2 linked regions of the Caenorhabditis elegans genome follow. The protein of the gene in region 2 interacts with the protein of the main gene of each other region in a pairwise test. Each region holds a gene or a part of one and is shown on either strand. Other genes may lie near its edges. The genes, in order: fut-8 and cat-4.

Region 1 (5,715 bases), 4.6 Mb from region 2:
ATTTCAAAACTTCTCATAAATCATGAAACATAAATATTTATTTGCTTTGATCTAAACTGTGATGCATATTAATATGCCCTTCAAATCATCAAATGCTCATTGCACATTAACCTTATCAGTACCTATAAAGTTTTGTACTCTTCTTGCAAATGATACCTATTGTTGCCACGTTCAGTGTCCTCTATTTCTCTCTTTTCATAAATGTTTCCATCGACATTTCGATTAGCATACATACATGACGATGAAAAATGAGCCACACTTCCTATTTTCCCATTTCACACACACGCCACGTATCATAAAGTCGCTGTCAATTTTCGTCATGCTCTGGTCCTCACCGCCGACTCGTTTTCTCTTTCCCAAAAATATTGAGAGCCACATTGTCTGCGTCTCTTCGTGCTCCGTCACACTCTATCGATTCAGATTTCGAGAGAAACTGAACAAGAAGAAGAAGAAGAAGAGAGCAAAGTGTGGAGTGTGCGTGTATAGAAGAAGAGGGATGAGATGGGAGAAGCCAACGTAGCGGGTTTCATTCATTACTTATTCAAAGCGGGGGTCTAGGGGACAACTACTCAACACATGTCTTCCGTTTGCTTTTCATTTTCATCAACTGTTTTTAATCGTCACACTTTGTTTACTTTCTGTCCGAGTATTCATTCAAATTAATTTTTCAGATTTTTTAGACATTTTCTTATATAGATTAAACTTTATTGCAAAATTTGAAAAAAAAAAAACTTCCCAACAAAAATAATCCTTCTAGGAAAAACCTAAAATGCTCTAAGAAGTAATAGGTGTTTATACTGAGTTTCTCTGATTTTCAAAGTTTTTTTTTTCAAATATGACCTCCTTAGAAGGATCCCATGGTGGTTCTTAATCAAAAACTAGATGTTTTCAATTTTCTGTTTGGCTCAAAAAATACCAAAAAAGTTTTGATGTACCATTGCTCAAAAATTTTGAAATTTCGGAGGTATTTTGCAAGATTATATTGCCAGGTTGACAACACCCCAGCAATTCCACACCAGGTTCGGTGGTTCCTATAGATTCCCACAAATTGACAAAAATTATACTTCTAGATTATAATCGAAAAAATAAATGTTTGTTGCTTTTTGGTAATGAGATATGGTAAACAACCCTCCAAAAAGTTTACCTGACCTTGATGCACTAATAACATCAAAAAAATGGAAACAACTCTGCTAAAGCGATGTGCACATATTTTTGCAATTTTTAGAAATTTTAGACTTCTGAAATTTCAGAATTTTTCACTCAAAGACTTAAAAAACTTCAACTTAAAAAACACCAAGATATAGGCGGAGCCTCTTTGGAATTTTTTTACATCTTCTCTTACAACTTATCAAACTCAACAAGCACCTCAAAAAGCTTTCCACTTTTTAATTAAATTCTTAATCCAGTTCCAACAGGTGTGTCCTTCATCAATTATTAATCACACGTGAAACCCCCTCACAGCTCGTTGAAATTGGATATCATAAACTGACGAGAAAGAGTCCAAGGTGTCATAATCCACTTTTCTTCCTCTTCTTCCCACTACTCTTCATCATTTTTCGAGTCTTCACAAAAAATTTGGAAGTCCTTGAATTCGATTGCTCCGCCTTTCTTTCTCAATTATTTTTCAAAATCTTAATTCCAAAAAATAACTCACAGTCTGTCGCTCACACAATTCGACACGCCACATAAGTTATTCCTCCCCAGTTTCCTTTTGTTGTTATCCTGTGGTCCTTACTCGACTTAATAATATGTTAGTTCTTACAGTACAAGTTTACTTTTATTTTAAAACAAAAAATTTCAGGAGCATCCCTGCCCGCTCCGAAATGTTAAAATGTATTGCGGCAGTGGGAACAGTTGTATGGATGACTATGTTTTTATTTCTTTATTCACAATTATCAAATAATCAATCAGGTTAGTTCAAATAAAAACTAATAGAGGAAATACGGTGAAATTTGTATTCTGTACTGAATTTTTAGTTTCAGGCGGTGATTCAATTCGAGCCTGGAGGCAGACAAAAGAAGCCATTGACAAGCTTCAAGAGCAAAATGAGGATTTGAAGAGCATTCTGGAAAAAGAAAGACAAGAACGAAATGATCAACACAAAAAGATGTGAGCTTTTATGTTTGAAATTCTGACTACTTGGAATTAAAATCTGATGTCAAGTCACACTAAAAACAAAAATAATCTTTCGTTTCAAAGAAATAAAAAAAGGATTGTCGCTAAAATGATAGGAAATTCTCTTAGAATTGCTTCGAGATTTGTATATATGACTGTACTATTTTTATTAGGAGCTTAGAAGTCTTAAATGAGCTTCTCAAAATTTGTCATCGTCAAAAAAATCTAGTTTGAAATACGAAAATTGAAGCCCATTTGAAAGAATAGATATGCTTAAAAAGTGAAAAATTGTTCAATTCAAACTAAAAGTGAAAAATTTTATTTTTCCAGTTATGGATTGGAAAAAAAAATTAAAAACTGAAAAGTCGAAAAAGGGAACTATTTTAAAACTAGTTTTTTCAAGAAATAAGTCTGAGATGTTCTAAAAATGCTTTCAGTAAAAAGTAAAAAGTTTCAGAAAAATGCATATATATATATATATATATAATTCCAGCATGGAACAATCTCATCAACTCCCACCAAATCCTGAGAACCCATCACTTCCAAAACCTGAACCAGTCAAAGAAATTATTTCAAAACCAAGCATACTTGGACCTGTCCAACAAGAAGTTCAAAAGAGAATGCTCGACGACAGAATTCGGGAAATGTTCTATCTTTTACATAGTCAAACAATTGAAAACTCAACAAAGATACTCCTTGAAACCCAAATGATCTCACTAATGGGACTTTCTGCTCAACTTGAAAAACTCGAGGGTTCCGAAGAAGAACGATTCAAACAAAGAACAGCAATAACTCAACGAATATTCAAATCAATTGAAAAACTTCAAAACCCAAAAGCATGCTCAGAAGCCAAAACCCTGGTGTGCAATCTTGATAAGGAATGTGGATTTGGGTGTCAACTTCATCATGTTACCTATTGTGCAATTACCGCATTTGCTACTCAACGGATGATGGTCTTGAAAAGAGACGGATCTTCGTGGAAGTGAGCTCTTGTCACCTTGTGTCTAAAATTTCAACGCTAAACCATTTCCAGATACTCATCTCATGGATGGACTTCTGTCTTTAAAAAACTTTCAAAATGCTCATTTGATGAAGCAGTTGGGGTATGTATGTTTTGAAATCTCCCTTGGGAAATTTTCAAACAAAAAATGAAATTTTTTCTTGCAGAACACGGAAGCTAAACCGTTTGCTGAGCCATCACCAGCAAGAGTGGTTTCCCTCGGAATTGTGGACTCACTGATCACAAAGTTAGTTTGAACTTGAACAACTACAAATACCAATACCAAAACCAATAATGTCTTTGCAAACTTTTAAGTTACATTCGCCTTGTTACAGACCCACATTCCTACCCCAAGCAGTACCCGAACAACTTCTCGAAAGTCTAACATCACTCCACTCACATCCACCTGCATTCTTTGTTGGAACGGTAGATTAATATTTTTATATTATATCTAAAACTTTCAACAATTTTCAGTTCATTTCCTACCTGATGCGTTTTAACTCTGCAACTCAAGAGAAGCTCGATAAAGCTCTCAAGTCAATTCCACTTGATAAAGGACCAATTGTTGGACTGCAGATCCGAAGAACTGATAAAGTTGGCACGGAAGCAGCATTCCATGCATTGAAGGAATATATGGAATGGACTGAAATTTGGTTTAAAGTTGAGGAAAAGCGACAAGGAAAACCATTGGAAAGGCGAATTTTCATTGCATCAGATGATCCAACTGTAGTACCAGAAGCCAAAAATGACTATCCGAATTATGAAGTTTATGGAAGCACTGAAATTGCAAAGACAGCTCAGTTGAATAATCGATATACAGATGCTTCATTGATGGGAGTCATCACTGATATTTATATACTCAGTAAAGTCAATTATTTGGTTTGCACTTTTTCAAGTCAGGTGAGAAATTTTTTATCTGAAAAAAATAATTGGATAAACGGGTTATTAGTGTGTACTATAATAAAATGTTCAGCTTTCAAGTTATAGTCCATGTACAAATTTTGATCAAAACCGGACCCATAAAACGGAGAATGTTAAATAATTTGAACTCCACATTTCGTTAGGTTGTAATATTTTCTAACTATGTCAGTCTCGGAGTTATTCTGGTTTAAAAATTGGAAATACACCCAAAAAGAGCCAGGCAGTTTCGTAGCTACATATAATTAGCAGGAAGTTTTGTTCACTAGTATTGTACATAGTAAAGCAAATAGACACTCATATACTTTTGACAAACTCAGAGTTTTGATGATTCTCACTAATCCTATGTAAAAGTCCACAAAACAAACTTTCAGGTATGCCGAATGGGCTACGAGTTACGACAACCATCAGGAGCTGACGATGGATCAAAGTTCCATTCACTTGACGATATATACTATTTTGGAGGTCAACAAGGTATGCATATAATAGTTACTGAAACAAAAGTATCTTAGTTTTCATAATTTCAGCTCATGAAGTAATTGTTATCGAAGATCATATTGCTCAGAACAATAAAGAAATCGATTTGAAAGTTGGTGATAAAGTTGGAATTGCTGGAAATCATTGGAATGGATATTCTAAAGGAACAAATCGACAAACGTATAAGGAAGGAGTATTCCCATCATATAAAGTGGTGAATGATTGGAGAAAATTTAAATTCGAAGCTCTTTTAGATTAGGATATATTTTATTTTTATTTTTATTTTCCGTATACTTCCCTTTTAGCTCTTTATTCATGTTTATCAATCTAGTTTTTGTACTTTTTATCGGGTTTATATTGACACCATCGTTATTCATTGCGGTTTTTCATTGGCAAATTTCTGTGATTATATTAAGCCACATCCGTTTATTGTTGTATTTTCTGTTGTTGAATTTGCAATATTTTTTTAAAAGAAACAATTTGAAAATTGTTGAAATGGGTGAGACGATCTTTCTTTCTATTTATGAATATATAATAAATGGTGAGATGTTTTTCTAGATAAAGTGAAATTTTTGGGTCGTCTGCTTAATATACAATCTGCCTAATATGTACACAAAAACCCGTTTTCAAAAGAAACACTGGGCTAAACTTTGATTAGTATAAAAGGAGTGTCCATTGACTGAATCTTAGAGATCATGAAACTTCTTCTAGTATTACTTATTAGCTCTTCAGTTGTCGTTGGACAACAAGTGGAAACACAGAAACCAGACGATTTCCTTTGGAATCGATGGGGTAAGTATATGAACGGTAGAGAAATCTGAAATAATTGCTTTGTAGAACCAAGAACAATTGATTGTGTGAGCAGTGGAAAGAAAGATGACTGTGTTCTTCTCGCACCAAACTCAAGAATTCCATTTGACATCACCAAATTTAAGTGAGTTTAAATTCAAGTGGGAGGATAATAAAATAATACAAAAATTTTCAAATTAATTAAAAATGTATCAAAACAAAGTTTTGATAATTTATTTACTTACTTACTTACTTTAGTAAATAAAAAGTTTTGGTAAATTGCCAAATTTTCAATTTTCTTGAAAATTTGGCAATTTTGAAACTTTTTTCGCATTTTCGCACCAAATGCTTAAATATAAATATCTTGAACATAATTAAAATACAAATTTTATATGAAAAAGTTAATTTTTTAATCG
Region 2 (4,333 bases):
AAAACCCAAAAATTAGTGCAGCACTAATAGAGAATATACGGTAAGCCTGTAGAGTTTGGTCTAATAAAGTCAAACTTGCGGTAATAAAAGTTTGAAGTGATTCTTATCAGGAAAATAAATAATTCCAAATCACATAATCCAGTTCATAATCTATTGACTCTTTCAACCGCGCCATTGAACATTCTAGTCTAAAAAATTGTGCAAGATGATGTTCACTAAATCATCACCAGTCAGAAAACCGTATTCCTTAGGACACTCTCTATGTTACTTGTTCTCTATGTTTCTGACGTAATCGCCGTCACTTAATTAATCCCGCAAACTCCTTTTGTGCACGATCTTATCTCAAAGGTGACAATTCAAAGTTCCTGAACCAATTTATCATGCAATGATTATAAACTCCATATAAATTGCGGCTTCAATTGGTAGTACATCATTAGCGGCGGCATTTTGCTTATGCTCTTATCTTATTTATAGTTCAACCTAATAAATTGCGGGGAACTTCCTCTACGAGTGTTACGGTATTATTTGGCAGTACTTTTCAGTAACAACTTTCGATTTTAATTTTTTACTTTTCAAGAATATTGACAATAGCTCAGTTTTTTCAAATAGTTCTTTTTGATTCTCAATCTCTAACTCTGAAGAACCAAAAGTTATGAGAGACTTCGAATAACCCAAAAAATCCTGATCATAACAAAATAGTATTTCAAGTTTTCTTGTTTTCATTCGTCATCACCTCCTCCCAACTTGTACCCAATCAGCCCAGAAATCGCAAATATAAGAAACGATATCTGATGAAAAAGAACTAGAAAACTAGGAAAACATTTACAAGTTCGAAACGCCTCTTCCCTCATCTTCAGCTGATTTTGGAACCGTTCTCGTCATTTCGTGTGAATGTCATCAAAACACATCGAGTCTGCCGGGAAAAAAAAGGCGTGGGTTTGATCTTTCTACTAGCTTTAACTGTTTCAACGAAATTCTTATGTAGGTAGTTAAGTAGAAGAATAGAAGAAAGTGAGTGTACTTCTTTAGACCCCTCAATTCTTTTCATTTTCTTTCTTTACTTTCTCATTTTTCCACCTGATGATGACTTAGAAAGGAAAGTAGTTAAAATTTTACAATTTTTGAAAACCGAAACTGTTGAATGAAATCGTTCCCAAATTTGAGGTCCTACTTTTTTGACATGGTGAAATATTAGAAATTGTATTTTATTTTTGTGGCTGTTGGCAGTATATATGAGAGTTTAACACGGTTTCTGTGTTGTACTAAACTCATTAGTAATTTTTTTGCCAGAATCTAGTTTATTTTTCAGATTGGTTGTTTCGATGAGTAATATTATTAGGTGTGATGAGTTTTAAAAATAGGAGGAGTATATTCTACCACATGTGATCCTATTATTGTTTTTAAATAACTTCCCAGGAGGACCATTTGATGAATTTCGTGAGAAATATATGTGAAGTTTGATAAATTCCAAATTTCGTTTTGAATATAAAGTTTCTCAATTTTTTCGATTGTAGTGCATGAAAGAGTAACTTGTAGATATTAATCTGCCAAAGTTTCGGCAACAAAACTGATAGTGAACTAGAAGTCCACGTGAGTGAAGGTCTATATCATTCCTCGCTGATTTACGATCCTTCTCTCTGTATCTCCTCAGACCAGTCCACTTTTTCTTTTCTTGTTGCGCCTATCCACCTAATCAATCGGTTTCATTTTCTTTTTACATGTTCCTTTTGTTTGCATAAATAAATTATTCTTCCTCCACATTTTCCTGAATACCTAGAAGTGCTGCCATGAAGGAATGGCGGAAAACGATTGATGTATGGGACGACGTCTTCCGTTTCTTTTTCGATTTTTTGCTATTTTCTTATTCTTTTTTTCTCATTTTTTCACATAAGTGGGAAAAGATGATGAAGTCTATCCATTCGACTAGATTGATTTCCTTCTGTCCCTTCATTTTGCCTATTTTTTCCCAGAATACCTTTCATAATACATGACGTGTTGTACCTTTTTTTTTCGTAATTTCTTCTTTCTTGCTTGGACATTGCACATATTCGGTTTCATCCGGCAATTATTTGAATGTCTATCCTTTCTTTTTGTCGCCTACGCTTTCTCAGCTTTCTTAAGATTTACCCACGGCTCATTTTCAATATCACCTTATTTCACTCACTTACTCAATCAATGTTTTCAGGCTTTACCCACTCTATCAACATCATAATATCAAAATGTCCAGAATTGAGAACGAAAGCGGATTTTTGTCATCTGACGCCGCAAGTGTTGGATCCGAAGACGATAAAGTTGAGATGAAGAAAAGAAACGGAACGATTCCAAAGGAAGATCATTTGAAATCAATGTGCAATGCCTATCAGAGCATCATTCAACATGTCGGTGAGTTCATGTGATTCTTTGGTTCGGAAAGTATTAGTCGATCAACAACAAATTTAAAATAAGCTGTTTAAGAATAGATTATAGAGTTCTGAAAACGTACTGTCAACTGTTTACGTCAGCAGAATTAGGAAAACTTTGGTTTCGATAAACATTTCAACACACTTTTTGATTCATTCTAGAGATTATAATGTTTTAGCATTTATTCATTATCAGTGACTCAAAGAATATTGATAAATATTTTCCCAAATATAAATTTGACCAAGATGTTTTGAAAGTCGATGATCTATAACTGATAGTTGTTATTGTCTGGAAGGAAGTTCAGTTCAATATATTCCACTCTCAAATCAAAAATCAAGATCGAAAATTGTTTTAATTTAAAGACTCATGACAAATTGTAATCTATTACATCACGCAATCAAGGTACCCTAGCACATCATCAGGAACTTGTGATTTCAATTGATATATCTATAACATAAATCAGAAAAAAATAGGTTGTGTCCGTTGATTATAAGGGAAAAAATGAAAACAAAATACATTTTCCCACGTTGACTGATTTTGGGAATTCAGGAGAAGACATCAATCGTCAGGGACTTCTGAAAACTCCAGAACGTGCTGCCAAAGCAATGATGGCATTCACAAAGGGATACGATGATCAACTTGATGGTCAGTTATAGCAATACAACGTTAAAGCTCAAAGTTTCATTTTTCAGAGCTCCTCAACGAGGCAGTATTCGACGAGGATCACGATGAGATGGTTATTGTGAAAGATATTGAAATGTTCTCCCTTTGTGAGCATCATTTAGTTCCATTTATGGGAAAAGTTCATATTGGATACATTCCAAACAAGAAGGTTCTTGGTCTGTCCAAGTTGGCAAGAATAGTCGAGATGTTCAGCAGAAGACTTCAAGGTAAATTGAGAAATTACATTTTTGATTGGAACCTAACCTAAACGTTCAAATATTTCAGTCCAAGAACGTCTTACAAAGCAAATTGCCACCGCAATGGTTCAAGCTGTACAACCATCCGGAGTTGCAGTTGTTATTGAAGCTAGTCACATGTGTATGGTAATGAGAGGAGTTCAAAAGATCAATGCTTCCACCACAACATCCTGCATGTTGGGAGTATTCCGTGACGATCCAAAGACTCGCGAAGAATTCCTTAATCTTATCAACAAACGCTAAAAATTCTAGTCATTTCCTTTTTTACTTGTTTTTTTGGGTTTTAACTGTTACTAACTTTTCATAACTTTCCATGTGAATCTACTAACATCTTATGCTTCAGCTTTTTAAATTCATACAACATGTTCATTGCCTGGATACTGTAATATGCTTTTATTGTACATGCAATAAATTACTAAATACCAGATAAATAAAAACAAAAACAATTAACTGGGAAATGAAAGTGATAAAGCTAGCCCAGAAGCACAAACTAAAAAATTAGGAATGAAGGACCAGTGAATTGGGGAAGTTTACAGAAGAAGCGTGAAATAAAAGCCACCGTAATTAGTCAAACAATCACAATCATACACAAGAAATAAACCAGATTGAAAATTAAATAAATATTTTACAAAGAAAAGTCCTATTCAAACATAATGTCATTAAGCGACTCGAGCTCCAAATTACGGCAACTTTCCATGTTTTTCACATTTTGTTGATAAAACATGTAATCTTTTGTGACATATCTGAAAATAGTACATTATAGTTGAAATTTCAGTAATTTATTCTTACCCGTATTTTAAAGGGTCATGAGGTGTGATACCCATTCCAGTGACGTGTTCTCGTAAGTTGGCTTTAAAGTTTTCGTGTACTTGACGGAACAACGCCTCGATCTGATCTCTTGGCATGATGCCAACCAGTCCATTGTGGAATTTCAGCATATGGCGACAAATTTGTTGAAATTCTGGCGATGGAATCACTCCTTTCACATCCCACATTCCAAGACAATTTGTTGT

Evidence for each region.
Region 1: the proteins of cat-4 (region 2) and fut-8 interact in a two-hybrid assay, tested with the Caenorhabditis elegans proteins (one large-scale study listed by BioGRID).

What each region holds. Positions count from the first base shown.
Region 1 is NC_003283.11:5,986,339-5,992,053, reverse strand, and holds fut-8 (Alpha-(1,6)-fucosyltransferase), read left to right. Parts: upstream 1-1,801; 5' UTR 1,802-1,823; coding exon 1,824-1,911; intron 1,912-1,982; coding exon 1,983-2,109; intron 2,110-2,608; coding exon 2,609-3,097; intron 3,098-3,148; coding exon 3,149-3,218; intron 3,219-3,282; coding exon 3,283-3,362; intron 3,363-3,450; coding exon 3,451-3,541; intron 3,542-3,589; coding exon 3,590-4,015; intron 4,016-4,407; coding exon 4,408-4,507; intron 4,508-4,560; coding exon 4,561-4,769; 3' UTR 4,770-4,983; downstream 4,984-5,715. Other genes in the region: C10F3.7 (DUF7808 domain-containing protein), read left to right, coding at 5,206-5,302, 5,348-5,444. UniProt on the Caenorhabditis elegans protein: Catalyzes the addition of fucose in alpha 1-6 linkage to the first GlcNAc residue, next to the peptide chains in N-glycans. The addition is prevented if the GlcNAc residue is already fucosylated.
Region 2 is NC_003283.11:10,562,695-10,567,027, forward strand, and holds cat-4 (GTP cyclohydrolase 1), read left to right. Parts: upstream 1-2,185; 5' UTR 2,186-2,219; coding exon 2,220-2,382; intron 2,383-2,949; coding exon 2,950-3,045; intron 3,046-3,092; coding exon 3,093-3,290; intron 3,291-3,348; coding exon 3,349-3,563; 3' UTR 3,564-3,745; downstream 3,746-4,333. Other genes in the region: vps-54 (Vacuolar protein sorting-associated protein 54), read right to left, coding at 3,961-4,063, 4,110-4,333. UniProt on the Caenorhabditis elegans protein: Involved in serotonin and dopamine biosynthesis that affects movement, mating behavior, foraging behavior, and cell migration.